Linked DNA regions of Caenorhabditis elegans. The protein of the gene in region 1 interacts with the protein of each later gene in a pairwise test. Each region holds a gene or a part of one and is shown on either strand. Other genes may lie near its edges.

Region 1 (6,162 bases):
TAATTATCCAAATAGTTACATGATGACATGAAACACATTTCGTTCGAATAAGTGACGTCATTGGGAGAACTTGAAGTTTCTTCAACTTATTACAAAATTCAAATTCAGCAAAAAACTATACATTTGAGTTTTCAGTTTCCTAGTTTAACTTTTGGTAAATTGACTGAGTAACGATTGTTCATACGAAGCTGTATCAGTTTTGGTGCTAAAGAACGGAAAACGTTTATTCACACTTGGTATTTGATATTAAAAAATATATTATTTATGAGAACTTTACTTTTAAAATATCACGACTGCTCTCTTTATACTCCCTCCATTTGTTCTTTGCCTAGAGAGTGTTAATTTTGTCTCTGTGGATCAACATGGTTTTGCGTACAATTCTGTAACTATTCAACTTCTGCATAAAACCCACTCGAAAGTCTTTGTTCTTTCTACACTTTTCTTCCAAAAAGCAGTGTTGATAAACGAAAGCAAAAAAGTACCGAAAAGCTGCTCATTGTTTACCTGAGAACCTATCTAGACGATAGAGGATTAGAGAGAAGAAGAACTTTTCAATATCTATTTTTGCCACCACATACAAGCAGACATACAACGTAAAAAGGTTTCCAAAAGATATATTTTTTTTTGCTTATTTTTTGCTTTTTTTGTGAAATATGAGTCGTGGGATGATGACAGGTGGTTGAATTCATCTCTATCTCTCATCTTAATTTGTTTTTTTTGTTTTGAGTTTAATTTCTGAGAGACTACTGTACGTACTTAATATGTACAGCCAAATATGGAGCGACATCAAGTGACATCAACCGGCTCTGTGTTTTCTCTGAATATAAACTTGATAGTAGAATGTCATCATACCATTTAATTTTTCATTAAATAAAAATAATTAATTCTTCTAAAACCTTATTGTTGAGTCTGAACTGGACTATGAATTTTACGAGACTGTATAATATATTTATAATTCCGCTCATGGCTCATTTTTGGCATAAACTTGGTAATGTAAACGTTTTGTGATTTGAAAAAACCCTATACTTCATACCACAAACTACTCTAACAAGTGTTCATACTTTTATGTCTCAAGCTCTTTCAAACAAATCGCACTTTTGTTCCAAATTTCTTCTCATTTTCGTCTCGGTCTTCTTATCATCCCATCCCCCTCCCCTTTTCGTTGATAATCAGCAACGCGCACTCGCTTTACTACAAACACGTCCAATACCTGCGCCTCCTCAAAATCATCCCTATATCATTCCGAGAGCTCCCCCGGCTCTCGGGAGCTCAAGAGGAGATGGCCATGAAGTGCGAGAAGGCTTCCCGCGCCGGGAAGAGCGAGAGAATGTCAGAGTTCGAGCGAGAGGATGTGCTCACGCCCGCGCGTGCCGTACACCGTTGGGCCTGAAGCTTTATCCGCACAGACCTCAGAACAGCAGAACCCCCACCTCCGCAACACAACACCAAGTTGATTTTTTGGAATTTTTTTTTGGAACTCAACCGTCTTAATTTATACATTAGTTCTGTATACTTCTAGACTTGATACAATGCAATTTCAACCTAAAATTGAAGATGTAATCTGAAATCACCCATCTCATATAAGAAAACAATGTTTAAAACTACTTTTTAGATTATGAACGGCAATCTACCAATGCCTAAGGTTGGCACGGTTTTTTTTGAATAAAACTTGTACTCTGCAATTCGATAAATGTATTTAGGATCATGTAAGATTGTTTTTTGCCAACATTTTAGCTCACATACGATAGATCTCTAGGAAGTTTAGTTCAGAACGTCATTCGTGGTATTTTGTGTTTATAATTATTTTTTACTTCAAAGCAAGTAGCATTACCAGATTGTTCAAATAGTTCTTTTTTGGTTGGTTTGTAGGACTTTAATACTAATGTTCAAGTTGCAAACGGAGATACAGGACTTCATGTTAAAAATCGTTAGCTTTGTTGTTATAAAACTTTATGTTATAAAACTTTCATAAGTTTATGTAGATTGGCCTACAAAAAGTATCACCTCTTTAAAAGTTTAAAAAATGTTACTGGCAGTTAGAAATAAAACTACAAAACTGGGGTAATATACGGTGTTCATTATGAAACACACTGATTATGAAAAAAAAATTGGAAAAAACTAAAATTTCAATTATTGGGTGTGGTATCGTTTTTTAAACGTAGTTTAAAACTATATGTTCCGTTAAACGATAAGAGTTCCATAAAAAAAATTAACTGTCAATCACGAATGACTCATCGAATCAGAAAACTCGTTATGCTCAGTTTCATAATTTCAATTGAATTTCTTTATTAATTTTAAATAAAACATCTTACTTTTTCAACAATCTTTTTTTTTCTGTTGTAGTCATTCACTACCATTTCCCCCGTCAAATTGCCCGACAGTCGATAAATATACAAAATCCAGCATAATCTCACTCTCCCTTCTTTTACTCTTATTTTCTATTTTGCACTATACGGAAAACAATACGATTTTTTTGTTTTCAATTTTTAATTAAAAGTAAAAATTCAAAATGTCAAAATGTTTGCAAAATTTTTCATCTATAAACGCCACGTGGTTATTGAAGATTTCGTGTAACTATTGGACTGAAACGTTTGCGCTTTAGCAAATAACTGCGTTTGAAGTGGTACACATTTGAAACAAAATGAATATTTTCGGTTGGACAATATTTTTTTAAACATGTTCTACTAAATTCTGTTTGAAACTTTGATTTATTTTTATTTGTTTCGCTCTATTTTATTGACCAGGACACAATAAAATTTCAGGTAGTCAAATCAAGATGGAACGTGTGACCGTTCGAATGGCTCGTTCGGATCGCCGAACTCCATGGGGGTTCGGTGTGACAGAAGCCCCAGATGGAGCTGTTCTTATTGTTAATGTAAGCTCTTTATTATAAATTTAGTATAAGTGTCCCCCTATTTGTCATAAAGTAGTTTGTCAGTTTGTCCAAATTGAATCACAATAAAATTTGTCGTAAAAATTAGTCTTGAGGCATATGTTTTCGTATACATTTAATACAAAAACCAAGAAAACCCATCACATTCACTTTTAGCACCTCTAGGTTCTTACCGCGATCTCAAAAATCACCGCATCACCACAACTGATTTACAATCTCATCGCCTTCCTCACTTTCTCTCGCAGTTTTATCCTCTGGACATGCCCAGGGAAAATCGGAAGAGCAACACAAAAAACATCACTTATTACAATAAGTTAGATGCTTTCAAAATTTCTCTCAAAACTCATAGACAAAATGTAGTGAGAGATTAGTCGTTAACGTAAGAAAAAATGAATTTGAAAAATTGACATGCGTTGGGGGATTTTTTAAAGCAAAGGGAGCCTTCAATTCAAACAAGTTGAATATCGAATAAAAGTTGAAAATTTCAGGTAATAGGTGGTAGCTTAGCTGATCGTGCCGGTCTTCGTAATGGAGATGTTGTTGATCGTTTGGAAGATCTTGACAATTTGGACATAAACGCTGTTGATAGACTTCTAGTTACAGCTCATGAGAAGATTGAACTTATTGTTACCAGGTAACTCATCTCGTTAAACACTTCAAATTTATCAGTATAGCACCAATTATTCAAAATTTGTGTCGACCACAATAAATAAAAATTATATATAAACAGAGCAGGTGTGTGAAAATAATAAGAAAGACATAATTTTCTCGAATATTTCCCCTAAATCGATCCCTTGAAAATGTACACAACCCTAGTTATGTAATCTGTAGCTTTGTTATCACAACGCAATTCAAAGTAGGTTACTTACCAGTTTGTATTTCCGTTTATTAACCAGTCAAAGTGTTCTCCGTTTTAATCACATCACCAATGTATCCTACCTTTCCGTTTTTAATCCGTCTGCGTCTTAGTTTATCTCCAACAGCAAGTGCTTCATGCAATAGAATATAGATATCCAAAATTTTCGAAGCGAACACCCGCCATATAAACAGGCGAACAGATAAGAATCAGGCCAATCGGTACGGGGGAAGCAGAAGGCAACATTCTTCCGAATATCTCGTTGCAGGAAGAAGGAGGGACTTAGGATTTATACATACATATTCCGTTTGATGACAAATCGTTGCAACTGTTTTGAACTGTTTTGAAACGGTCAAATGTCCCAATCAATGTTTTCTTTAGCTTTGCAACAGCTTTGCAACACAAGTTTTGCTCCTCTTATAAGCACTCTAATGTCATTAAATTTGAAGCTCGTTACCTTTTTCCCTCAAAAATCATTCTGTGTTGATAGTTTTAACAAGCTTCAGATATTTTTGCCCCTTTAAACTTATTTTTGAGCACTTTTTACATAAGCAACTGCAAAAAAAGTTGCATGGAAAAATGTTATAGAATTGCCAAAAATAACTGCCACAGCATTCAAGATTCTTTCCAAAACTGCTGTATAGTTTTAAGAAATACCAAAACAAAACAGTTTGACAATTATTATTATTTTGGCTTTTACTTTTCCCGAATTCGCATAATTTTCTCCTGAATGTTATGTTTTACTTTGAACAGTTGAATTTTAAATAAATAGGGTTTTAATGATGAGTCAGTTCATGACAAAGCAATGTACTTCTGACACTGTTCTTTTTATTTCATTCTCTGTTGTTGTATCAGAGTGTTCCAACAATTTATTCACCCTCTCGCACACAAAAACTGAGAGAATGAAATTGTTGAATACTTCCTCTCACATATTTCCCTTTTCCAGGTGTTTATCATTTTTGAACAAAAAAACTTGCAAGTTTCCTTTTTCTTTACGTTTACCCATTTTCCTATAAATATATTTCATGTTCAATTGAAATGATTTAAGATTCAAAAGTGATGGTGAGAATCACAACGACGCCAAGACCATGGTAATTTGAAATTTAATCGAAGAGATTAAATAGAAAATAAATAAATTTTGATTTCATTCATATCAAATAAGTTTAATTTCAGGCAACCATCCGGTGCAGCCACCAGAATTTGGCGTCCAGAAGTAACTGAAAATACTGGACCAGGACAGGATCAAACCCCATATCGTGTCAATTTGCAGCATAGCAGTGATGTGAGTCATTTGAGTTTTGTTTTGAAATAGGAAGCTTCACACAAAATCGTTATTTGTAATCGTTTTTAACGACAATAGCATAACATTTTTTAAAATTTCTAATAAATAGTGAATAATAAATTATTTTTAGACCCGTCCACCACAAGGTTTCAACAATTCAGCACTTCCTTTTGAAACAGATCAACGTGTGAAACATATGCAATACAATTCTCCATTGGGAATTTATTCCGATAAGTCTGCAGCTGAGCAATATGTTCAACAAACTCAAGGATTGGGAGATAATTCAGGGTGAGTGTTTTTTACATGACTAAATTTTTGAAAGAGCACTTATAGTTCAATTTGGCCAGAAAATATAGTATAAATTTAGTTCGGAAGTTGGCCTATATTTTACAAAAAAATTTCTTGAGACAAGTCATGGCCAAGCTTTGTTCACCCTTTACCAACTTCTGAACAAAATTCTTAGGTTTGGGGCAGTTGGGTCAGAAGTGGCGGTCGAATTCCGAGTCTCATAAATTAATCCAAAAATTACAAGACGTTAACGCTTTTTATCATTCAATTTCAAGAAACGAAAAACAAATTAAATGTATTTAAAATCCACGACGGCTTCTCATTTCTCTGAAAGCTGCAGTGAGGTTATCGATGAACAAAAGCTCGCGTTTCTTGCGCGGAAGGTAGTCTCCCTGAAAATTGATATTCTTTATCATAACAATTCAATCGAAATTACCGTGTCGAAACCTCCGGCGACAGCAGCTTTTCCTGCATCATCTGTAGCATCAGTTTTAGCCTTGCAGTCCTCTGGAAGATGTGGCATGACAAGTGCCTTGGCTTGCTTTCCATAAACTTTTGCCAAGTTTTTAACCGCTGCCTTGTCAGCATCATCAAGTGACTCGAATTTGGATTTAAGCTGGAAAATGTAGGATAATTTAGATTGTGAAAAAACTAGGTCTTTTTCTAATTTCCCTCACCTCCGCAGAAATTTCTTGATGACTCTTGAATAAGTTTCCTTGTTCAAAATCGCTGATTACTTCTCCAGCCAATTCTTTTGCCTTGTCCGAAGGCAGATTTGTTTGTGCATCGGTCTTTGCCGCAGCCACAATGTCCCAGAATTTTTGACGAATTCCTTCTCCGAGA
Region 2 (8,828 bases), on another chromosome or scaffold:
GTGTGTATCGCATTTGTCACAGTTTCCCCATAATGTACCTAAACTACTTAATAATGTTTTTTTCTCAACTTTGTCATTCTGAGTTTAGTGTTTTCTTGTTCTGATTTTGTTGGCAATCCCCAATCCGTTTTATGTCCGTCTTCTCATTTTTGTACTGCCACTCCTTGTTTGAAATTATCGAGTTTGGATGGAAGACCCTTGGTGCTCCTTTTCCCACTTGTCTTATTCAAAATGCCATCTGCCCCCTTTTTTTGTTCAGTTCGTTCAGCAAGCACAATGAATTTAAAAGATAATCGATACTCGAATATGCCACACCTCAGTTCCCATTTAATCATTTCACTTTTTCATACTTTTAAATATGTGAAACACTTTTTTTCAGTTCATACCAAAGTATCTAAATAAATCAGTTTGATTGTAAGAAAATGATTCAATAATTTATTATTTATGACAACATGCGAACGTCCAATATATCATTAAAAAAGCAAAAAAAAGATTTTATTCAACGATTTTTATACTTTAATTTTGTTTGTATTACTCTTGTTAAAACATTTTGTGGTCGGAACATGCGGCATTGCTCTGAATTTCCTTCAAAGCAATTTTTTTAAATTTAGCATTTTATCAAAATTTTGACTGAAAACTTCCATAAATGTAAATTTTTTTGGAACATTTTATTATGATATTCGATTTTTATAAGTGTATTTAGACAAAACCCCTACCTGCGCTACTTCAACTTTAATAAATGTACGCTAAAATTATTCGATCAATTTGTTCTCAAATTTCCTGACCCAAGAAGTTTTCAATTTTTGCTTCGTCTCTCACAATTTTATTGGTGGACGGAAACAAATACTTATGGGTTGAAAAATGCGACATATTTTAAAATTTGTTTGAAAGTAATATTTAATTGTTTTGTGAAATTGACAATTTACCAAAACTATGACAAATATTGCTGAAGGTGGTGTAGCACCAGTGGGGAAATTGTTTCAAAATACATATGAAGCCAAAATGAACAAGTATCATGGTAATTTTTTGAATCTAATTTTTATATGATTTTAAATTGGAAAAATGTCTGTTTTTGCCACCTTTTTGGAAGTTGTCGATCAAATAAAAATTGTTTATTTGATTTTTATGCTGTGATTATTTTTGAATTAATATTTAAATATTGCAAGGATTAAAACATGCGACATAACTAAAGTTTTCTCAAAAAGTGGCAAAAACTCGGTCTTTTTTGCCAGTTTTTTATAGTCAATAAATTCTTTTTTCTCTTATGAAATTGTAAAATTACAGACGCTGAATATTTCAAAAATCAAGAGGGTGTTTTCTCCATTTACCTACCAATGATCAAACAATTTTCTTAGCTCACGAATGAAATAGTGCACAAAGTTTTTATTACATTCATTTGCCGAAAAAATTGAATACCATTGGATGTTATGAGTTTCGGAGTTTGAAATTATGCTCAAATTATACTATAGGTTTTACAGAAATCAGAAGGTAGCACAAAAACATTAACAGATGGAAGATGAGTGCAATCAGTGGTAGAAAAATGAATTAAATTAAATTTTGGTACCTATTGGTTTGTACCATTTGTTTTTGAGAATACTAAAACTATTACGTTTTAATTTATTTAAAAAAAATCATCTGCTAAAAACATTGTTAATTGCCGGATCAAAAAACAAAAAATTTTCGCATAAGAATTTTGATTGGTGAGCAGAAACTGAAAGCAACTCATTACCGGTTGTGAGTACCTACCAATCTGTCAGTAAGTTGCTTAACCTCCGCTTCCCATTATGTTTACCCTCTCGTTTGCGTTCACAATGTGTCGCAGTGTTTCTTGGCAAACTCTCGACTTCTTTCCGCTCACCGGTATTGGGGACGGTTGCAGAAGCATCAGCAGGCCCCCCCCGAGTCTTCAAGCCTTCATCGGAGGTACTGTTTGCTTTCAACTGGCACACACACACACACACACATCGCGTCTCGCAGCAGCATTCACTACAAACCTAGCCTGATTCCTAACCACCACTTAGCCTTTTCCCTGCCTCACCCAACTAGACTCGACACATTTGGCTCCCCTCATGTTAATGGCAAAAAGAACCGAGTGAGAATAATGGATCGAAATGTCAACTCGCCACGTGTACTTGCCGACCAACTACGGAGGTTTATTCAGAATCCGGATTCGACTCCTTCAGGTAAACATATATCCATGACAAGACGGGAGTGTATTCAAACTGAACACTTTTAAAAACCACCACCAAATAGGCACTTTTTTCAGGGAGCGGTATATCTTTATCAGATGCTGGATTTGTTTTGTTATCTTTAAAAGACCAAATTTTAGCGGACTCAATAAAGTAAGTAGTTTTGAATTTTTTGTTGGCGTTGATGTTCCAACATTTTCCAAGCGAACTTTCTTCACAAATTTGAAAAAAAGTTTGATTAAAATTTACAAAAATGACAGTGTTTTCTATTAGTATATTGGAGCGCAATGTTCAATTTTGACAGCTTATACCTAAGTTGTCGATTGTATCATTAAAATCAACTAGCAACTTACTAACAACTTATTTACAATGCAACAATGTCAACTAACAAAATATTTGTTAGAATTTTTGGTACATGTGTATTACATAGTTATAAAAAATTTAAGCGTGTACAGTGCATTTGATTTTTCACTTCTACGACTTTAAAGGAAGACGGATTTATGCGGAATGGTCTTGCCGCGCGTTTAGTCATCATTTTTAGCAGTTTCTGGGTAAAATTCGCGTAGATCACATGTATATCACAAAATATTTATCTCATATTTTGTATTTCTGTTGCTTTCAAATTAATTGTGCTTTCACGCGTGATCTACGCAAATTTTGAACAGAAACTGTTAAAAATGATGATTACGCGCGCAGCAAGACCATTCCGCATAAATGCGTGGAAAAACCAATGCACTGTAGCATATTTTTGAACTTTTGAGCTTAGGTAATAACCATTTTTAAGCCCAAAAAAATGAATATCACGTTAAATTTCAATGGAGAAAGGAATGAACATTAAGTAGAATTTTAAAATGAGGGCATGTAAAACACAAGTACCGGTTTTTTTTAAACATAGTTTGTAGTTTATCACTAATAGATATGTTTAAGACAAAGTGTGATATAACATTTTTCAATGCAAAAATTATTTTTAGAAACAGAAACAGTTTTTCAATTGTTTGTTCACATAATTTTAATTAATTTATAAGGTTTCTTTTACATTCATTAGCCGAAAAAATGCATTGTTTCAAAAACTAGCTAGTATTACAATTACTTCTTAAAAGAGAAAGGTTTTCCGTTGCTCTATTAGTATTTTTAAAAAATGCATTCCCTCAAGGAAAATTTATTTAAATTTTTTTGGCCATTTTTTCGTATCGTATTATCCATTTGGCGGTACCTCCCGCGCTCAACTTTGTGCACTCCCGTGGCCATTATTTAACTCCGACTGAGAAGTAAATACAACAGTGACCGGTTCTAAAACCTCCCACCCCCCCCCACGCACTGATAGCTAACTCCTCCGAACCACAATATTTGCTCCTGTCTGACGTATGCTTCCGACATGAATTTCAATTGTTTCCAGGGCTCAACATTTTTCGCATGAGTTTGTATCAAAGCCTATCAACGGGATTGAACTACTCGGAAAAGTGGTGATTGTTCTGCAGGGAATTGTGAACAGTGTTGAAGGATCTGGATCGAAAATTTCCTACCTGCTCAATAGAAATTCGACAAATGCCAATCGAAAAAGAAAGGCAGCTGTTGCTGAGGCCGATTGCATTGAAAGCATCAAACTGTTACTTGAGAAATCAGTGAGTGAAAATTTGTAAGATTCATGCCATTAACTATCACCTTGCATAGGAATCAACATGGAAGTCATTTCTCGAAACATCAACCGGATTGGATGCCATAATGTATTCTATTCATTCGCCTCAGCTGGACTCCAAATGTTACTCACTCGAGGTTGCCGTTTATCGTTGTGTTTGACAAATTAGAATATCGTTCTCTGCAGATTCTTCTTCTGCTACTAGAACAACCGCAAGGATTTGTGATTTTATTGAGGGCGCTGACTGTTTTGGCAGCAAGAAATCGGGACTATTTGAGGTTTTCCATATTTGTAGCACAACTCAAACATGGTCTTCATACAAAGAAACTTCACATTCAGGTCTAAAATAATACGGCGCATTTCGTAGATTTTCGCCATTTTCAGATCCTTGTGGCTAGACTTTTCAACAAGTTGATTGCAAGCGCACCAACTCCAGTGCACAGAGCACTTGTTAAATCGGAAGTGTCATTAGCCCAGTACAATCCAGAAGTTGTCGAAAAAGTAGGTTACCTATTGTTCGTATTCTGAACGCCAAATTGTTCCAGCTCATTGGATACCCGAATTCATCCTACGGCGGAATGGACACTTTGATCGATGAGTTGAACGCGTGGAAATCACTGAACCAATATGTTGGAGGGTCGGGACCCACCGTTGAGCATAACCACATTTATGGAACTTCTGAAGTGGACGGAAGCAGCATATCGGAAAGAAGTCGGAGGCATGCTCCAAGCTCCAAGATCATGGTAAATTTTCTGTTAGGTTTCATAGCATAATAAATTGCGATATGAGTTTTGTATTGTTCAAGATGTACAAAAAGATTTTAAATTTGTCTGCTTGCGTTGACAAAAAGTCATGTTGTATCTATCAAAATAGGTAAAATAATGAAAGGAAATTTTTAGCTTTCGCCGCGGTACGTTTGGTTATACGAAAAAGCCTAATAGAATAATTTAAACTACATACCCTTTTTCTTTTGAATCCCCAAGATAAAACGCTGTTGTACCCCGTTAATCTTGATGAAATTTTCAATTTTCTTAGAACCTCGGGTACTGCTCAAAAATAAATTCAAGCAGCTGATATGTTCAAAATATATGTTTTAAAAGTCCAACTTGTGTTATACAAATTCAGATTTTTTTTTACAAAAGTTCCAGCAAAGAAAAGGCATAATGAAAACTTCTCAAAAAAATTTTGAGATTTTTTATTTACTGTCAAATAGTGATAACTACTCAGTATTCTTTCAGTCATAATTTTGGAAGTCGACCAAAAAAATCTACGGTTTTTGCTCTTCATTTTTATTAAACTGCGTTAAAACAGAAAATTTGGCAGTTAAAAAAACTCTAAAAATTTTTGGATTGTTTTATCATGATATTCGATAGTTCTGGATCACTATAAGTGTATTTCGACAAAATTTCCACTGGCGCTATTCCACCTTTTGACCTATTAATAGTGATGAACCCTGAATGTGAATTCTTATTTTGTGGGCAAAAGTGCCGGAAGAAGGTAACTTATTTTATTTTATTTCAGCCAGTGACATCCGTCGTTAAAAACGTTGAACGTCAAAGATTCCGAAAGCAGGGTGCTGGCTCCGGTGGAAGAGCTGCCGGCAATTATTACTTTGAAGGAGGTGGCGGCCCACGCTTGACTTATGACCGAAGATCACAAACATTATCGCATGGTTCTTATGCTGGTAAGTGATTAAACATTGAAAATTCGAATTGATTTCTAAATTTTAATTTCAGAACCATCTTCTCCAATACCACCATCCAGAATGGGTTACGCCACCGAGAGAAGAGAGCCGTTCGGTGCGATGAGGCGAGCAAAAAGTGAAAGTGCAATGGTTTTCAGAGAAAAGTACGTAAAGTAGTATTGATAACAGCCGAGGTATACAAATTTTGTTTCCAGCAGGGAAGAGTATGAAAATGATTCTCCTGAAATGGCGCCACGCGGCTTGAAACGATTTGGCAATAACAGTCAAAAAGAGCAAGTCCATTATCACCCAATCCAACAAGTGAAAACCTTGTCTCGAAGCGTTCATGACTTGGCCATCCGCGACGATGATCCAGGAACACTACTTCGACCAGTTTCTGCACGACCACCATCATCAGCGTCTCGAACACCGTACAGAGCAGTGTCCCCAGTTCCAGTTTCACCAATTATAAAGCAAGATGCTGACATACCGTCTAGACGACTATCTAGTGCACTTTCTCCAAGAGCACGATTTGCGGATCCTCCGATTGTTGAGGCTCAGCATCCTCACGCAGGATTTTCATATTTGTTCCCACAACAGCCAGTTGTCAGTTCAGTGTACAACAAAAAAATGATGTCGCCGGAACCAAGAGAAGTGACTGTACGTTTTATTATTCAAAATTGCAAATGTTCCCAACTTTTCTTTATAGGTGAACTACTAAAATACGCCATAAAGGGCAAAAAAAGTGTATTCCAGCTACGGTGACAAAGAAAAATTAGCGAAATTTCAGATTTTAGGAAAATTGGGGTGTATGTTTTCGAAATTTTTTTTTGGAAATTTTTTGAGTAGTCTCATTATGAAATTCGGTCGTTTTGGTCCGGTATATTTAAGTTTGAAAATTTTCAGAGCTCCACATCAAATCGTCCTGTATCAGCGCCCCTGTACGCCACAGCAGGAAATCACGAAGGCTCCAGCCGGCCCCTCTCTCCTCTGGAAATTCAGAACTCAATGTCCGGAACTCATGATTTCGATATGCCAGTTGCATACAGTAATGAGAATGGACAAGTGGTGTATGTTCCGATTAATATTGAAAGTGGAGTCGGAGCCGGGCCACGGAGAGTGAGCAAAACGTCAAAGTAAGGAATATAAAAATTATTGTAATTTTGAACCACCAAAAAGTGACCGAAATTTAAGATTTTAGTTAAATTAGGCTTTTTTCGAAATTTTGAAACACCATAAAAATTCTTGAAAAATTTTTGAGATTCCCATTACGAAATTTGTTCTTTTGAGCACACGTGGGGTATAGAATTTTAAGTTCCCAGAACTGCCTTGAATGTGTAATTTTCACATTTAGGTTCGACTATACTCCAAATGAATCTCGCAGCAATAGTCGTGCAAAACTTCGGAGCCCAAGCATTAACGGTAAAATTAATACTTCATAGAGATTTTTTAATCATTATCATATAAACCTACCAAGTTTCAGGAGAAGATGTTCGTAATGCTCTGAGCCAGTTCGATTACTTGTATGACTATGAAGCCGACCAAAACCCAAAAAATCGCGAAGCCACTTATCATTTGTAATGAAACCGATTTGTCATAAATTTAACCACAGTGTATCCCGAAAATAATTTTAAATTTTAAATTTGCTCAAATATAGGCTTAAGACTTGTTCAAATTAAATACCTTTTTTTTGTATATTTAAAATAAAAATCTTGTTAACATATATATGAACCCTTTTTCTTTGTCTTTTTATTTTTCCTAATTTTATTTGCACGGTAAACCTCCAACAAATTGATTTGAAAGACATCAATGGGATAACCCTGAATCGATTGCGTGCAACCCAAAACAAGGCCATTGGAATTAGGAAACGCTCTCTCTCTCTCTCTCTCGCTCGTTTTCTTTCGCGCCGCCAACAATTTGCCTTGTTATCAAACAGTATCATGACCCCAACTTGATTAATTGGGGAAATATCATTTAGGATGCTTTTTATTATTTGACTATTTGTGGGATTTCGGAAAAAAAATAAGAAAAAAAAAGAATTGGCAGCGACAGTGAACTTGAGAATTTGAATGGAGAAATTGAGGAACACGGGTGTAAATAGAGTTGCAAAAATCAAAGAATTGAGCCTAGATACAGATTAAAATGAAGAATATCAAACATTGTCAAGGTTGAGCAAGATTTTCAGATGTTTCTGTAAATTGGCTGTGGTGGTGGTGCTTGTTCGTAGCTCCATGGTGGCCAAACAAATTTGAAGCAACAACATTGCACTCGATGGTGTTGCACCGGTCGAACCGGTCTCATATCCTGATGATATACCTGTGGCTGTTGAGTGATTGCACCACGTGAAGCTCCAAATGACGACTCGTGTCCTCCACCGTGTGACTCGTGATGAGATCGGTGATGGCTGCTTGATCGGTAGCCGCCACCTCCACTACTTACCACGCCTCCAGGTGGTCCACGATATGGCTGCACTGCTCCATACTCTTCTCTTTCGAAATCATCTCCGAATCCTCCTCGACCATATTCCAGGGCTCTGCGATCTCTCGTAGCTTGCTCCTTAAATCGGGAAGAATACGATTTTGGACTGTCACCCATTCTTCCATCAAATGATCTTCTAGGAACAAAGTCACGGTCTCTTCCGAGAGGCTCCCTTACTGGTTCCTGAATATCTCGATTATAAGGAATGTGTACATCTTGGCCTGCTTGTGGACGACGATCATCAAATCCATAAGGCTCGGCATCTCTGTGACGTGTTTGAGGGGACGAACGGAAGTCATACTGCGGATCACGACCAATGTCACGGCGAATAGGGATGACAACTCCACCATCATTAGGATATTCATTTCGATGAAACCCATCATCATGTCCTCGAAACTCTCTGGTGTCCAATGATTTACTTCTGAATATGAGAGAGCAATTACAATTTCAGTGAATCTTCTGAAAAAAAAAAGTTACCTGGATTTCAGATCAAGCCCTCGATTATCAAAATATGGTGCAGGTTGGGAAAAGCGATCTCCGTAGTCTTGGTCAACATTTGTTTGAGATCTGGATCTTAGTGGTGGGTATTCTCTGCCATATGCATGAACACGTGAATCAATGCCACCACGTGGAGTGATTTGTTGTGATCTCGAGTCACGGTAGTTCATGGTTCGATTCGAATAATCCGGGTTAGCCCCCGGCGAGAAACGACGATCGTAATTCATCGCCGGGAGTAGTGTTGACGATGAACCGACGTGTTTTTGTAGACAGCAAGTAGTGATGGATATATTGCGTTTTTCCCACAAAATAAGTCGGTCGTTCGGTTAGTAGAAAAGGCGAT
Region 3 (6,338 bases), on another chromosome or scaffold:
TTTTGGAATTATCATCCTTTTTGCATATTTTGTTCGTTTATCTCATGCTATTCCGTTGAAAATCGCCCAAATTAGGTATGCAATAAAGGATGAAAATTCCAAAAAAGTCATTTTTGGACGGCTGAGACACGGAAAAATGGTCAAAACTGGTGATTTTAACTGAAATTAAGCCATTTTATCGACATTTCTGGAAATTTCACTATAAAATTCGTCCATTCGAGCACATTTTGGGTCTGCCAAGGCTCCAAACTTGAAAATTCTCACATGAAGATTGCGATTGGCAATGATTGCGCACGTGTCAATCACGAGATGCTTGATTGGCTTTTCTTTATTCGTCATTCTCTGAAATATCGAAAAGAAATGAGATAATTGCGGCGAAAAACGGAAAAGAACAGAAATCACGTGATTTTTTGGACTTTTTTGTGGATCGTTATGGAGGATTATGCTGATTTTAACTGATTTAATGTGAAATTTTATGTAAAAATATTAATTCCAAACAAAATCCAAAAGAAAAATGCAAGTTTAACCCCGAAAAAACAAAAATTGTCTGGAAAATTCGTGAAAATCGCAAACTTTCGTGTGGCAACGACACTCCGGAATGACGGAGGCGCGTGTTGTTTAGCGCGTCCCGTTTTTGCGCTTTTTCTCTCGTTTTCATCGAATTTGCAATGATTTTTTCAGTTTTTGGCCTTTTTTCGTGTTTTTTTCGGTGTTTTTCGTGAAATGCACGTCTTAAAACGTCTAATAAGCTTATATTTCCAAGAAATATCGATTTAAATCGGAAAAAAGACTACTGATGCGTCTTGGAATTGTTTGCTCTTTATCTCTTCTCATCTCTGTTTTTTCGACAAAAAAGCTGAAATAAATCGAATAAATCAGGCAGTATTGTTCTGAAATGAAAAATTTGCAGAAAAATGGTATTTTTCCATTTTTTTCATCAAAAGAAGCACCAATCGTGGAGAAAGTCCCTTCTTCTACGTAGAAATCCCCGTTTTCTATATAATTCCTCTCATCGAGACTTATATTATCCGATTAGCAGGTCAAAAATCCCCGTTTTTGGCACGGATCCACTGAAATCTCAATAAAAATCACATTTTCTCGAAGAAAAAAGCAACAAAAGAGCCGTCATCCCCCTCTCAAATTTCCTCTCCTCCTCAATTTCGATTAAATTTTTAATTATTTAGGCGCTTTTTCTGCTCTCTTTTTTCTTGCTCCAGCAGCGGCTCCCCGCATCTCTCATCGCCTTCTTCTCTTTTCTTCTCGCTTGACCGAGCTCTCGCAGTCCGGAAAAGCAGTCAATAAGCTAGAGAGCCGTGCTTTTTTTTCACCTGTTCTCAAAAATCGCCACTTCACGACAGGTTATATTCATCAATCAATTCATCACGTTTTTGCCTCGATTTCAGAGAAAACTAGTTGTTTCGGAAGAAATTAATCGCGAAATTTTTTTTATTTTCCCTTTTTTCAGACGGCTAAAATCACGTGGAAATTTATAATTGTATAGGTTTTCACTCAAATTGGCTCGAAATAGCTCGAAAAAATTCCAAAATGTGTATGGCGAATCAAAATTCGAAAAAAAAAAACCAAAATTTGCTAAAATCAGCGGCTAAAAATCCAGTTTTCATTGAATTATCTTCATTTTTTTAGAATTTTTGGCTTTTTGCCACCCAAAAATGGTCTCAAGCATTGAAAAAACACTGCGACAAGGAAAAGTTGACAAAATGTAGGATTTTAGCAATTTTTGCTTCAAAAACACGCCAAAAAACAGTTTTGGAATTTTTTAAAAATATGTAATTTTAGGTCATTCTGAGTATATTTAAGTGAAAACCCTCTTTAAAGGTGAAGTACCGAAATTCGAATCTTTGCTTTTTTAGACCCAAATTGGTCCAAAACTACCGAATTTCGTAATGAAACGTTTCGAAAATTTCTCAAAAAAAAGTTATGGCGGTTCAAAGTTCGGCAAATTAAGGCCCACAAAATTAAGGCCCAACGTCTGGAACCCAATTTTTATTTATTTATCACTTTTTAATAAATATTGCGGTCTTTTATTAGGCTTTTATTCGTTGTTTTAAGTACATTTATGGTCAGTGGGCACAAAATGTAACTTTTATTTGTGCCCCAAAGGCCAGAAATATGCTTAAAACAACGAATAAACGCCCAATCAAAGACCACAATATTTATTAAAAAGTGATGAATAAATAAAAATTAGGTTCCAGACGTTGCGACACCGAGAAGTTGGAAAAAATTTTGATTTTAGCTGAAAGTTGGCCTTATTTTGCCGAACTTTGGACCGTCATAACTTTTTTTTGAGAAATTTTCAGAATGTTTCATTACGAAATTCGGTAGTTTTGGACCAACTTGCGTCTAAAAAAACAAAGTCTCAAATTTCGGTACTCCACCTTTGATTTCTGAAAAAAAACTCTGCTTTCAGTTAAAATTACCAAAGAAACTAAATATTTTTAATATTTCCTGACTAATTTTTAGAAAATTAAATAGTTCTGAGTATTTTCTGAATTAGACTCCAAAAATCGCTAAATTTTCCCATTTTCCCCAGTTTTTCATAAGTTTTCTTGGAATTTTCCTCGTTTTTTTTCTAAAAAAAACCTCTCGATTAAAATAAAATCCAACTATTTTCCAGATAATGTCGAGCGGAAAACGGCGTAATCCGTTGGGACTCAGTCTACCACCGACAGTAAATGAACAAAGTGAAAGTGGCGAGGCGACGGCGGTAATAATTTAAAATTATTTTTAATTTTTAAATATTGAATTTAAAAAATATAAATTTCCAGGAAGAAGCCACCGCGACAGTCCCACTAGAAGAACAGCTGAAAAAGCTCGGGCTCACGGAGCCACAAACTCAACGGCTCAGCGAATTCTTGCAGGTCAAGGAGGGCATCAAGGAGTTGAGTGAGGATATGCTACAGACTGAAGGAGAACTTGGCCATGGAAATGGAGGAGTTGTTAATAAGGTTGGAATTTGCTGAAATAAGCTGGAATTTGGAAATAAAAAGTTCAATTTTTCAGTGTGTTCATCGAAAAACCGGTGTAATTATGGCTCGGAAGCTTGTACACCTCGAGATCAAGCCGTCAGTCCGACAACAGATCGTCAAAGAGCTCGCCGTACTTCACAAGTGCAATAGTCCATTCATTGTTGGATTCTACGGGGCTTTTGTGGACAATAACGATATATCAATTTGTATGGAGTATATGGATGGGCTTTCACTTGATATAGTTTTGAAAAAGGTAATAGTTTATTGGAAAATGTGCGGGTATGTTGGAAAATGATATGGTGGACAGTTCTCGCAGGATTCTCGGATTCGGCTTGTCCTTGTGATCCGCATTGTCGATCTGACCAAGCTTCTACTCGGAGTACCTGGCTCTGCCGATGGTCCGAATGATCCTTGTGATCCTGAAGCTCCGACCTTCTTCCCGGTACCTGGAATTCCGTCTTTCCAGAGGTTCCTGGCGGATCCTGTTCAGAAGATCGAACTCCGGCGTCTCAATTGCTTCCGTCTTGTCCTGGAGATCTGCTCTTTCCCGGATGTCCTGGTGGGCTTGCTGGAGCGTTTCCTTCTGGAAGAAGTTCTCCAGGCTCTCCTGTGGTCCAGAAGCTCACGGGCATTATGGCGGAATCGGGAGAGTTCAATCACGAAGCTCGTCCTGGTGATCCTGGATCACCTGATTCTCCGACTTTTCTATGGTTCCTGGCGGTCCCTGAGCTCGCTGGTGGGCAGTGCTCGCACAATCCTGGTATTCGGCTTGCCCTCCTCCTGGGAGAAGTGCTCCAGGCTCTGCCGATGGTCCGGATGATCCTTGTGATCCTGAAGCTCCGTCCTTCTTCCCAGCACCTGGAAGTCCGTCTTTCCAGAGGTTCCTGGCTGAACATATTCAGAAGATCGTCCAATAAAAAGCTCGTCATTCTGGATTTTTAAACGAAATCTTTGGCTCACCCTGCTCTCCAGCAACTCCGTACGTGGTGTCTGTCCGCTGTCCCATTACGGTTTGACCTACAAAAAATGCGGCAATTTTTTCCCCAAAAAATGTGACGTCAGCTGAAAATTCTTCGTCTCGACTCCCGCATTTTTTGTAGATCTCGGTAGATCAAACCAAAACGGGGCAGCCTGGCACCACGTGCTCCGACGTCTCAACTTCTTCCGTCTTGTCCTGGAGATCTGCCCTTTCCAGGATGCCGTGAGCCTCCTGTCCGTCTTGATGGCCTAGTTGGGTTTGCTGGAGTGTCTCCTTCTGGAAGAAGCACTCCAGGCTCTCCTGTGCTCCCCCAATACCTCCAACAGAAGCTCACGGTGCTCTCCTGGTTCTTGACCTAGTTCTCTTTCCAGAGGTTCCTGGCGATACCTGAGCTCACCGTGCTTCACAAGCCTCTTCACCCTTTTTTTTATTAAATGGACAACTACGACATATCGATTGAAAAAATAATATAGTTTATTCGAAAATGTACAGACAGACTCGCATAAGCTTCTAATATCCTGGAGCAAGACGTGCTGGTGGGCAGTGCTCGCACGATCCTGGAGATCCGGCGTCTCCTGGCGATCCTGGAGTTCCGGCTTGTCCTGGTGGTCCTGGTGGTCCGCGTTGTCCTGAAACAAATTTAACGTTTAGAAGAAGAAGAAGAAGCCTAGCTTATCATGATAATTTACCTGGCTCTCCAGCAACTCCGGCGTCTCCGTTGCTTCCGTCTTGTCCTGGAGATCCGGCCTTTCCTGGCTGTCCTGGTGCTCCTGGCCGTCCTGGTGGTCCGGATGGGCCTGGTGGAGCGTCTCCTCCTGGAAGAAGTGCTCCAGGCTCTCCTGGTGGTCCGCGTTGTCCAGGCTGTCCTGGTTGCCCAGGTGGTCCCGGTGGTCCGGATGGTCCTTGTGGTCCTGGAGCTCCATCCTCTCCGTTTCTTCCCGGGTTACCTGGAATTCCATCTTGTCCTGGTGGTCCTGGTGGTCCTCCAAGTCCTGGAGCAGCAGTGCATGGGCATTGTGGTGGAACCGGGAGAATTCGATCATGAAGCTCGGCATCAGGTCCTGGTGGTCCTGGCTCTCCTGGTCCTTGACCTGGTTCTCCGTCTTTTCCAGGAGTTCCTGGCTCTCCATCTGGTCCTGGTGGTCCCTGTTGGCATGTGCAGCATTGAGCATCAGCTTGACGTGTAGCTCTGAGCAGAACATCAAGTGGATCATCAGCACCTTCCGGTGCAACCTCGACCATCTCACGCCACATATCCCGAGATCGGGACTTGCAGTACTCAACCTCTCCTTGTACGGAAGCTTGAAGGGTCTGCACATAGTGGAATACCAATGGGAAAGCGATAAGCACAGCAGTCACTGCGACTGTGGAGAATGTGACGGCGACGAACGCCACACTTCGCAACGATCCCTTGCTCTTCTCGTCCATCTGAAATTCTATGAATTTTCTAGAATATTCGAACAAAGAATCAAAGGTGAAGAAGGGAAATGAAAAATGTCAGAAGTGTCAAAAGAATAAGAAGAAGAAGCCTACACAGTCATTTGCCGTTGCCCCCGAGTGCTTATATGCGGCCGCTGTGGTGGAACGAAACGGCAAGTCGCGCACTTCTGTGTGCGCTGCGTCTCATCGTTGCGCACGCAATTTCCGTGCGCCCCGCGCAGTGAACATCCCTTGCGTTTTTTTTTTCGATTTCCTCATCTTCTCCGCCCGTTGTTGTACATGACTGTTGATTATGATGACACATAAAGTATCAAGGTGTGGAAAAAGTAGGGGAAGGAATCGAAGAGCAGTTCGGCTGGAAGTTTTGGGACTTCGAAAAGCCAATAATCGAGTTTCGGCGCTGTAAATGAGTTTTCTACTCTTTCAGGACAGTTAAATAATGTAGTTTTTAAAAGATTCCGTATAGAAAGTCTAGGGCTTCCATGTCGGCGTTGAAACACCTACCTGCCTGATTTGAAGGCGACACCTGCCTGCACGTGGTGCCAGGCTAGGCTGTCCCATCACGATTTGATCTACAAAAAATGCGGCAATTTTTCCCCAATGTGACGTCAGCACGTTCTTAACCATGCGAAATCAGTTGAGAACTCTGCGTCTCTTCTCCCGCGTTTTTTGTAGATCAACGTAGATCAACCCGAAATGCGACACTCTTACACCACGTGTGTCGGCGTTGAAACACCTAACTGCCTGATTTGAAGGCGACACCTGCCTATCGCCTCAATAAGCGCCTTTCAATTTGATTTTCTACGAAATGATAGAAATGGGAAAATATGAGACATGGGTGTGCGGTAATTGCCGTTTGGCATGTTTTTATGTCGTCAAATTCGGCAAATTGTTGTCAATTTGCCGATTTGCCGGAAATTTTAATTCCGGCA
Region 4 (9,241 bases), on another chromosome or scaffold:
CAAACATCAAAAAAGTTCTCCAGAGACATATTCTACAAAGAAACAGAAAGAAGGATTCCAAAAATCACAGCTGCAAGATAAGGCTTGATACATGATAACTAATGAGAGCGGAAAGAGAAAAATACCCAAAAAAAAACAATATATTACGGGTTGGAAAAAGAACTAATGGGGGGGGGGGTCAGAAATGTGACTAGAAATGTGGAAAATGCAATTTAATTTAATTTTTTTTTCTTCCGCCACTAAGCTTGGCTCATCTCATCGTGATCCGCTTGCTGATCAAAGCGAGAGCGGAACGTCCGGCGAGGTGGCTGCTCGTCAAATCGATTTCTCCTCGGTGGCCGTTGATCCATATCCTGGCCTGGAGCATCATCTTCTCCCTGTCTATCAAACCTACTGACACGGGCTCTCTTAGTCGGAACGGGATCCTGATACTGGGATCCATGTGCATTTGGGGATCCTAGATGACCGCCATCATCATTGTACGCTGGCTTCTGGTCGAATCTCGAGTTGTTCCGAGGAGCAAAGCCTCCACGAGCATATCGTGCTCCACGGAATCCTTCAGTGTCGCCAAATCGGCCACGGTTTCCGCCTGCATTGTCTCTAAAGTCGCGGTCGTGGTGGTTGTTGTAGTTGTTGCGATTGTTGTAGCCTCCACGGAATCCGCGGCCTCGGCCACCTCGGAAGTTGTCGTGGTGATGATTTGGACCGCGTGGTGGGAGCTCTGCCATCTTTTGACGTCTCTGAAAAAGAAATAAGTAAGAATGGAAAAAAAATAGCTTCAAACTGCCACTTACCATCTCCTCGTCATGAATAAATCTGCACTGATCTCCCCGATTACATCCACCCGGGCGGCTGATAAAGTAGACACATGGCTCTGGAATCTTCCAGCCGGATTGAGTCCATCCTTCCGAGTTGCGAGAGTCCTGGCGACGCTCCTGAGCCATCATCTCTGGAGTTGCAAATGTTGCCTGAAATTTTAGACTGTTGCTAATGTATAAATAAGGAGGACTTGGACCAGCGTCGTGTAAAAGTGGGCCGATACCGGGCCTGTCCCGTTTTTGAAGTAAGCTTCCATGGGCCCACACATTTTTAAAGCGGGTCGGACCATTTCAAGCAATTCCAGCCCGTTTTTAAAAGCGAAAAAAACTCACGACATATCCATCCATTGGATAATCTTGCGGCACTTCTTCACTTGCATACGTGTTCCCCTGCTGGAGCATCATCTGCTGAGCAGTCTGCATTGCAGCCGCCAGTGGATCAACCGGCGGTGGAGCTGAAGTCGTCGGCGAAGGAGTCTCATCCGACGAGACGAACCCCTTCTTCTTGAGCTGGTTGAGCATCTCCTTGAGGTTCGATGGAAGCTCGAATCTGCTGGCAGGCTGGGCTGCTGGAGCTGGCTCCGGGGTCTCCGGGACAGAGGTGGTGGCCGTGTAGTAGTTGGTGACCGGTTCCGTTTCCTGGAACACTTGCTGGATGTGTGGAGTCGGCGTCTGGTGGGCTGATTGCTGCTGCTGCTGCTGTGCGTACATCGGACGTCGAGGGTTCTCCGGGCGTTGGCTATGGTAGAGTGGCAACGTGTGGAATCCCTGGTTCGGCTTGACCTGAAGCAGCAAATCTTGTGGACGAACACGTGGCGGACGGCCCGGAAGTGGCAAATCGCGGATAGTGGCGAGAGTGGTGGGCTCCGATGGAACACTGACGGTTGGGATGATGGTCGGCGTGTAGTTGGCACGGTCGACAGCTGCCTGCTCGTTAAGCGCTGGGTTGTCCTCGAGTTGGCACATTCTGGAAACGCAAAAAATTTAAAAAATTTTTATTACAGGTCAATATATGCCTAAAAACTTACCCAAACATGGCCCCTCTCATAATTCCTTCCTCTTCGATACGTCTTTCTTCCCGTAGGCCCGACTCTGACATTTCACTGCGCGCCGGTTTGGACCGCTTCACCGGCACCAGCGACCACTCGACATCCTCAAAAACTTCCATCTCCTGGCCAAACGCGGCGGCCTCATTTCGCTCCGAACACCGATAGTCGGCAACATTCGAGTGGACTGAAAGAAGAGGCGCATTAGTTTTAGTGGTAGGCTCTAGTGGCGGCGTACTTGCTGCAATACGTTCAATTTCCTTAACATGCACCAGTGGAAGACCTCGCGTGTCGGCGAAGATGAGGCGACGGGTGCCACGCTGATTGAGGTTGGAGATAGCTGGACCACGGAGAATTCCACGGTTTGGCTTCTGAAAATACTTGAGGGCGATTAGTAATAGTTTTTGCTTGTTTTCAAGAAAGTAGCTGGATCAGAGCTTGCTTGTTCTAAAAAGCCATAATTTTGGGCTCGAAATTCATTTGTAGAATTTTTTTTCCGAACTGTCCAGTACCATGGACGAATTGGCGCGCAATTACACTCAATTTTAAAAGGTAAATTTTCCAAAATTCTAACACCGCCTCATTGAAGCAAATGCGCTCTACCGAAACTGAGCAAGTTTGGTTGTCAAATTCCCGTTGAACGATTTCTCAAAGAGCGGGATCAGAGCACGCTTGCTCCAATAAACCATAAATTTTGAGCTCGAAATTCATTTGTAGAATTTTTGCCCGAACTGTCCAGTACCAAGGCACACAACTCTGCTCAATTTTAAAAGATAAAATTTCAATTTTCCTAGCAGTCGGCGTTTCCAACAGTCTAGCACAGTCTCATTGAAAAAATGCAGATGCGCTCTACCGCCACAAAGCAATTTTAGTTGTCAAATTCCTTTTTTAACCTACCAATTTCAGTGCGGCAAGTCCCGCATCCTCTCCATCATCTGTGGCGTGTCGTTTTCCTGAATAAATCGCCGTCGGCACCGCTGCTGCTGCGGCAACTGCTTCCGGCTTCGGTTTTCGCTTCACAATCCGGATTCCTGGGTTGGATGGCGAGTAGGAGACTGAGCCTGAAAATATTGATTGGTATTATTGAGATTTTCTGGAATTTTGAAAAAAAAAATTAAAGTATTCAAACAAACTTGGCATCAAGACTGAAATGTGCTCTTTCTGAAACGGTATGGGTACGGGGCAGGGGAGACGGGGAAATGGGAACAATTTTGTAAAAGTTTTGAGGCGTTTTAAGGGGTTCCCATTCAAATTGCAAGAAAAAAATCAATAGCGCTAGATTACGTCACCTAGAAATTCCACGTGTTGAAACATCCGTCGAGGTATAAAATTGTCATTTTTTCGAGTTTATGAGCGTCTTTTATTCCGTGTTTTGAATTTTTATCCAAAAATTTTTATAGTCCAAACTTTTTCGCGGCAATCTTTTTATTGATTTCCTTATCAATTTTTTAAAGTAGCATCGTTTTTTTTCCAAAAAATTCCAATTTGTGCGCAATAACTCACAAGGCATATTCCACGGTTTATTCCAAAAATAGAGCGTACTTGTTCATTATTGTGAATTTAAGTTTTGGCCTACAAGGGGATACCAATAGGAAAATTATCTCACCGAGTTTTGCAATTTATCGATTTTTAAAAAATGTTTTGAGTAAAAACAAAAGAATCGTCGTAAAATTTAATACAAAAATTGACAACTGAAACGGCTCTTCATCGGAAACCTCGAAACATTTCAATTTGCAAGCAATTTTCTCTAAAACATTTCTACTAGTAGTAAGTACAGAAATCAGATTTTTGGGAGATCAAAATTTCAAGATTACAACGTTTTAAGCCACTACAAATTTGGAAAAGTCACATTTCTTTGCGAAAAATAAGTAAGTGTTCTTCAGAATTCATAACGCCTAACCTATCCGACTATTACAAAAATTCAGACCATAAATATTAATTTTTTACATTTTCTCAATCGCTGAGCATTCTAGACATTTTCAAAATTCTAGACATCCTTCAAAAATGATCTACTCAAACTTTTCTTTCAAATTCCCAATCAAAAATGTTCAATTTATCGATTTCCGCATTCAAAAACGTCCACGGGCGGCAATTTTTCCAAAATTTCAGCCCGTGCACTTCTGATGATTTTTCTGGAATTTCATATATCTTTCATATATATCTTCTCCGCCATTTTGCTCGGCTCTGCAAACGAAACCACTGTAGAATATTCCATATGAAGCTGAGAGCATCTGCAAAAAAACTCCGGACGCACAAAAAAATAGAAAAAAAGAAGAAATCAGAAACATAGAAAAAACATGGAGAACAACTTATTGGGGAGTCTGAAAAGTGATGGGGATTCACAATTGAGAAGAGGCTTCCATAAGAGTGACCATAGTTCCCGGGTATCCATAGTCTTTTTTTAATAATAAATCTCGGTTTTTGTCCGCTTTTAAAATTACATTTTCCCATTTTTCCAAGACCTTTCAAAATTTTGCTAAAGTTCTGGAGAGTTCTATAATTCATTAAAATGTGAATAGTCGTATCTACGCTACATAGAAATAGGGGCTGGGAAAGTGGGAATCGGCGGGTGGGAAGAGCACATCTCCATCTCATTCCCAAGTGTCGGAGCTTCCATGTACCTGAAATGTGATGTTAGGATACAAATTCTAAAGAGTTTTCCACCTACCTCCATATTTCTGCCGCGTTGTCTGATCCTCGGGCTTCACTGGAGTCGTCTTCGATGTGGATGGCGCGGTGAGTGGTGTCGGTACGTAGACTGCTGAAAATTTGAAATTTAAAATTGAATTTGAACTGCCTATTGGAAATTATTAGAATATATTCAAGGAAGATTCAAATTTTCTTGTATTTTTAGAGTATTTTTTATCTAGAATATCTGGAATCTAGCAGTTTCTTGAAAAAATATCCACCGAGAAAAATGTCGGAACGTAAGAAATATGTCCAGAAGTATAACAATTGTTCAAAAAATTCAAAAGCTATCAGATACATGGAACAAAATTTGCCAGATTGATTCCGGTCTACTCAAAAACTCGGTCAACTTCCAGAACTTACCCGTACTTGCCAAAAAAGCTCCAGTGAGTGAGCAAAAGTCTGCAGCTCTTACTGAAGATATAGAACTTCCCTAAAAATGCCAGAAATCTGCAGAAAGTTAACAGAAAGTATTCAAAAGCCTTCCACATTTTCTTCAAATCCCATAATTTTTCTAGACTTTTCCAAACTTCTAGAAATGTTTTCGAAAACTGTACAACCCTTCAGAACTTGGCACAACTTGCCAGATATTTTCCATGCATTCTTATGTCTTTGTGAACTTTGAATGAATTTGCCGTAATCTTGCCCGATCATCACAAAACTTCCAAAATTCTCCAAAAGACCTCAGATCTGTTCAGGACATTTCTGAAATATTAAAAGTAGTCGCAAGTTTCAATCTAGTTTCAAAAAGCACCATAGACCCCCAAAGTTTAAAACGAAAAATTCCAGCTGTACTAAAATAGTCGGATTCAATTTTTCCAGCATTCTACTAGAGGATAGAAAAAAAAATAGGCCACAGCTTCAGCATAGTCAGCAAGTTGTTCGAAATCAGGCCGTTATCACTTTGTAATAATTGTTTCCCTATCCCTTTTTCTCGCGGAACCAGGACACATCTTATCTTCTCTATAGAAAATACGTAGTCACTGTTCTCAACTTGAAATTAGGCCCAAAGAGGGAAAAAGAGAAGAGCGAGAGCCTATCCTAAATGACTTAAGCTTCTGAGCCTTGAAGTGAAAGCCTAATAATCCAAGAAACATAGCTGGTTCCTGCTAGGTAGAAGCTTGAAGTTTTCCTGCTGGTCCCATATAGCCAAAGTTGAAGTCCAAGTCCAAGTATCTTGACTTCTGGATTCTACTGCTCTCAGCACGTCAGAGGTGCTCCAAGATGCCGAGGGCACTTCAGAACCTGAAAATTCGTGTCCAAAGCCCGGTCATCCCTTTCTGGGTATCCGACCACATCTGGGGCATTTCTGTTCCTCACATTATTTTCCTTCATATTGTGCGGTTAAAACAGAACTCTTTATTTCAATTGTCTCTCTGAAAACGGTTTTTTCTTTTTCGCCAACCCGGAACTGTGTCACAAAGAAAAATGAAAGTGCTTGATATCAAGATTCGAGATCGAAGAAATAGGATGAAGTGGAGAAGAAAATAAGGAACTTGCAAATTAGAATTCAAATTCAAAAATAGTAGAATTCCGATGACTTACCCGGAGAGTCGATGGAGGTGTTCGGGGATCCCACTGCTGGCAGGAAGGCGCCGTCCATTGTCTTGGTCGGGGTGTAGACGTCGGCCATTGGAGACGGTGTTGGTGCGGAGTTGAGCTGCTGGCGGCTTCTGCTGCTTCTGCTTTGTGTAGATTTTCTGGAAATTTTGTAAGAGTTTAATTTGAAGAGAATATTAGTGAATTTAAAAAAAAAAGAGGAAAAATCAAAGAAAATTTTAATTTTAAAAAGTTGAGGGAAACTAGAAGAAAACCAGGAGAAAAAACTCGCCAAAATCAGCCTAATACATTTTCGAAACGCGCAATGTGTGCGGGAGAGTGTTTGTGTGAGCGTGCGTTTCCCTATCGATCGTAGACACAAGAGACCCCCGGCAGTCAAATAGTGAGGAAATATCCCGAGCAGGCAGCCAGAGAGTGGTTAGAGATCGCCCGCAGTCGACGAGAGAGTGCAGGTGGCGAGGGAAAAGAGGCACGAGACGACGAGAGCGTGTATCATGTGGGCTGTCGAATGCGACCACTTGGGTCCCTCACCGATGTCTGCATACACACTGACGACAAGTTGCGGAGCGTGTTTTTTGGAGAATAATGGTTAAATGCATATTGGATATTGATGGAAGTTCATGAATTTTGTGAGTTTTTAAAATTTCAAAGCAATTTTTTTTTTGAATTTGAAGCTCAGCCAACCAAAAACTTATATTTTGAGAAAAGTTTTCAATCGAAAGACCATTCCAGAACAGTTTCACCAGAACAGATTCTAACGACTTTTCATGCAATACTAAAAACTAAAAAAGTTGATAAAAGTTTGTCGATGCACCATGATTTTTGCAATTGCTTCAGGAATTTTCAAATGAAACATAAATTTTTACAGATTCCTTTTTGGCTGGGAGCAGATTGTCAAAAAATCGATAAGACTACAGAAAATCAGTGGAGTTCAGGAAAAATAATTGGTTTTTGAAAATTATTTCTAGCTACATATAAGGGAAAGTATTCGACAGACAGGCTACCCGTAAAGACATAAAGCAGGAGTTAAATGGAATTGTGAGGAAAATTGTCAAACGTGCCAATTTGTTGAAAATCACAGAAATCGATGCACTATGATGTTAGCTTACAGAAACTTGAACCGAGTTTACATGAATTTTTTGGTGAAACAGAAATTTTTTCACTATCCTAGTCAACTGGAAGAATACTGTCGTTTTGAATAAATCATTTAAAAATGCCGTTTGAAAATAATCGAATCCAGACAAAAGTCTTCGATTTTGAGCATTTCTCACAAAAAAGTCCATTTTAGAGATTCTATGAATTAGGTTTACTATTTTGAAATTCACAAACTTTGATGAACCATGATGTTTGCTCTTAAATACGTGGACTAGTTTGTCAGAATCGTTTTACAGAAGGAACCTCTCGGATAAAAGAAAATTGTCAAGATAACGTGGAAGTTGCAGGGAACTACCAGATGTCAGGGAAAATTATTTTGAAGGGACTCAATTGACAATTAGTGCATGAAGGCAGACAATACAGGACTCGAATGATACTTTAAGAGAAATTAAAAAAATGTCGATGCACCATGATGCTAGCTTCCACAAATTTGAACCGCGTTTAACAGAAATTTTTGCAATTTGCTTGCCGGATAAAAGAAGATGAAAAACTTCTAGAAACGCCTGAAAACACTTAAATTGGAATCAAAATCCTGGAATTTTCGAACATTTTTCACAAAAAATCATTTCTTTGGCAATATCCTAGAATAATTTTCTGGAAATTAAGTGATTTAATAACCAATTTTTGATATAAAATTATTTATTTAGAGAAACTTTTCTTCTTTAGTAGCAGTTTTGTATGTAATCTTAAAAAAATGACAGTGAACAGTTGTAAATGAGCAATTCTAAACTGAACGTTCTAGTGTTCAGCATTAAAATTAAAACTTTAGCGTGAAATTTTGATATCCTACAAAAGTTTGCTACTTGTAAAAAAAAAATATAATTTCGATTTAAATTTAAGAGATACTGTCAAAAGCGTCTTAATTTTTTAAATCACAAACCGATGCACCATAAGCTCATTCAACGGGAATTTGTACAGATTTCTTTTTGTCTGGAAGAAAACTGTCAAACAATTGTGTAACATTGTGAGAGATGCTCATAATTCTAAAACGGAAGGAGAAATCTTTAATGTTCATCTTTTGCTAGTTTAATGGAGACAGTATCGTGGATTTGGCCAGTTTTGAAAAAGATGGTTGGAACCTCTGGGTTTCGTCCCCCCCCCCCCCCCCAACAAGATATCCATATTTTTCTTACTATTAGCGAAGTATTTTTCTAAGCTTGATATATATATATATATATATATATATATATATATATATATATATATTAATATTAAAAAATTTATTTGACGGGAAACAATATTTTTGAAAAATTTTAGAGATGAAAACTCAGAAATATTTAAGAGATCGTGTTGATTTTTTTTTGAGGTATTCCATCAACAAATTGTGAAAGAATATGAGATTTCATTCGAGATTTGAAAGATGCTTTCAAAAGTGTCAATACTATGAAACTCAGAAACTTGAATGCAGCGGGATGTTAGGACATGAATTGGCTTTCCACAGGAATTTTCAGATGTAGTGGGAAATATCTGTAAAAAAAATTGAAATAAAATGGAAAGTTTTTTATTGAAAAATTTTATTGAACATTTTAGAATGATATTCTGTCATTTTAGTACTATGAAAATGGTTGGTACATGTGTATTATAACCCCACATTGTTTTTAAAACGCAATTAGTATCTTCATTATTAGGCTCACAAGGAAAGTCTGTCAATCAAATACTAGGACATCTAAACCAGGGCTGGGCGGCAATTGCCGTTAGGCAAATGGATTTGTCGGCAAATGCGGCAAATCGGCAAATTGCCGGTTTGCTGATTTGCCGGAAATTTTTCATTCCGGCAATTTCCCGATTTACCGATTTGCCGGAAATTTCAATTCCGTCAATTTGCCGATTTGCCGATTTGCCGGAAAAAATCGTTTCCCGCCCACCCCTGTTCTAAACCACACATATTTCATTTGAAAGCTTGTTTTTTAACTAGGTCACCACAAAAAGTTGTACGGCGGAACTAAACTCTGGTATTCTAAAAACGCGGTCTGA

What was found.
Region 2: the proteins of alp-1 (region 1) and F53B3.3 interact in a two-hybrid assay, tested with the Caenorhabditis elegans proteins (3 studies listed by BioGRID).
Region 3: the proteins of alp-1 (region 1) and mek-2 interact in a two-hybrid assay, tested with the Caenorhabditis elegans proteins (3 studies listed by BioGRID).
Region 4: the proteins of alp-1 (region 1) and zfp-3 interact in a two-hybrid assay, tested with the Caenorhabditis elegans proteins (3 studies listed by BioGRID).

The regions. Positions count from the first base shown.
Region 1 is NC_003282.8:8,849,738-8,855,899, forward strand, and holds the start of alp-1 (PDZ and LIM domain protein Zasp), read left to right. Parts: upstream 1-2,762; 5' UTR 2,763-2,776; coding exon 2,777-2,875; intron 2,876-3,381; coding exon 3,382-3,527; intron 3,528-4,792; exon of another isoform or gene 4,793-4,808; coding exon of another isoform or gene 4,809-4,840; intron 4,841-4,922; coding exon 4,923-5,031; intron 5,032-5,161; coding exon 5,162-5,319; intron 5,320-5,558; exon of another isoform or gene 5,559-5,618; coding exon of another isoform or gene 5,619-5,711; intron 5,712-5,755; coding exon of another isoform or gene 5,756-5,935; intron 5,936-5,996; coding exon of another isoform or gene 5,997-6,162. Other genes in the region: T11B7.5 (uncharacterized protein), read right to left, coding at 5,619-5,711, 5,756-5,935, 5,997-6,162.
Region 2 is NC_003284.9:2,864,334-2,873,161, reverse strand, and holds F53B3.3 (CLASP_N domain-containing protein), read left to right. Parts: upstream 1-2,024; 5' UTR 2,025-2,101; coding exon 2,102-2,183; intron 2,184-2,266; coding exon 2,267-2,342; intron 2,343-3,416; exon of another isoform or gene 3,417-3,585; coding exon 3,586-3,811; intron 3,812-3,860; coding exon 3,861-3,962; intron 3,963-4,011; coding exon 4,012-4,164; intron 4,165-4,209; coding exon 4,210-4,326; intron 4,327-4,370; coding exon 4,371-4,568; intron 4,569-5,346; coding exon 5,347-5,509; intron 5,510-5,561; coding exon 5,562-5,673; intron 5,674-5,724; coding exon 5,725-6,169; intron 6,170-6,415; coding exon 6,416-6,645; intron 6,646-6,863; coding exon 6,864-6,931; intron 6,932-6,992; coding exon 6,993-7,090; 3' UTR 7,091-7,248; downstream 7,249-8,828. Other genes in the region: F53B3.6 (RNA-binding protein 6), read right to left, coding at 7,691-8,408, 8,465-8,712.
Region 3 is NC_003279.8:3,009,746-3,016,083, reverse strand, and holds the start of mek-2 (Dual specificity mitogen-activated protein kinase kinase mek-2), read left to right. Parts: upstream 1-2,635; 5' UTR 2,636-2,638; coding exon 2,639-2,725; intron 2,726-2,786; coding exon 2,787-2,966; intron 2,967-3,021; coding exon 3,022-3,240; intron 3,241-4,418; exon of another isoform or gene 4,419-4,476; coding exon of another isoform or gene 4,477-4,595; intron 4,596-4,655; coding exon of another isoform or gene 4,656-5,394; exon of another isoform or gene 5,395-5,400; intron 5,401-5,465; exon of another isoform or gene 5,466-5,591; intron 5,592-6,338. Other genes in the region: nobh-1 (RNA-binding protein NOB1), read right to left, coding at 265-339; col-48 (Nematode cuticle collagen N-terminal domain-containing protein), read right to left, coding at 4,477-4,595, 4,656-5,394. UniProt on the Caenorhabditis elegans protein: Functions in the let-60 Ras signaling pathway; acts downstream of lin-45 raf kinase, but before the sur-1/mpk-1 gene product in controlling vulval cell differentiation. Required for progression of developing oocytes through the pachytene stage.
Region 4 is NC_003284.9:1,440,392-1,449,632, forward strand, and holds the start of zfp-3 (C3H1-type domain-containing protein), read right to left. Parts: upstream 6,253-9,241; 5' UTR 6,186-6,252; coding exon 6,098-6,185; coding exon of another isoform or gene 6,069-6,097; intron 4,626-6,068; coding exon 4,533-4,625; intron 4,486-4,532; coding exon of another isoform or gene 4,016-4,485; exon of another isoform or gene 3,005-4,015; coding exon of another isoform or gene 2,998-3,004; exon of another isoform or gene 2,926-2,997; coding exon 2,762-2,925; intron 2,245-2,761; coding exon 2,103-2,244; intron 2,052-2,102; coding exon 1,847-2,051; intron 1,786-1,846; coding exon 1,152-1,785; intron 969-1,151; coding exon 795-968; intron 741-794; coding exon 240-740; 3' UTR 1-239.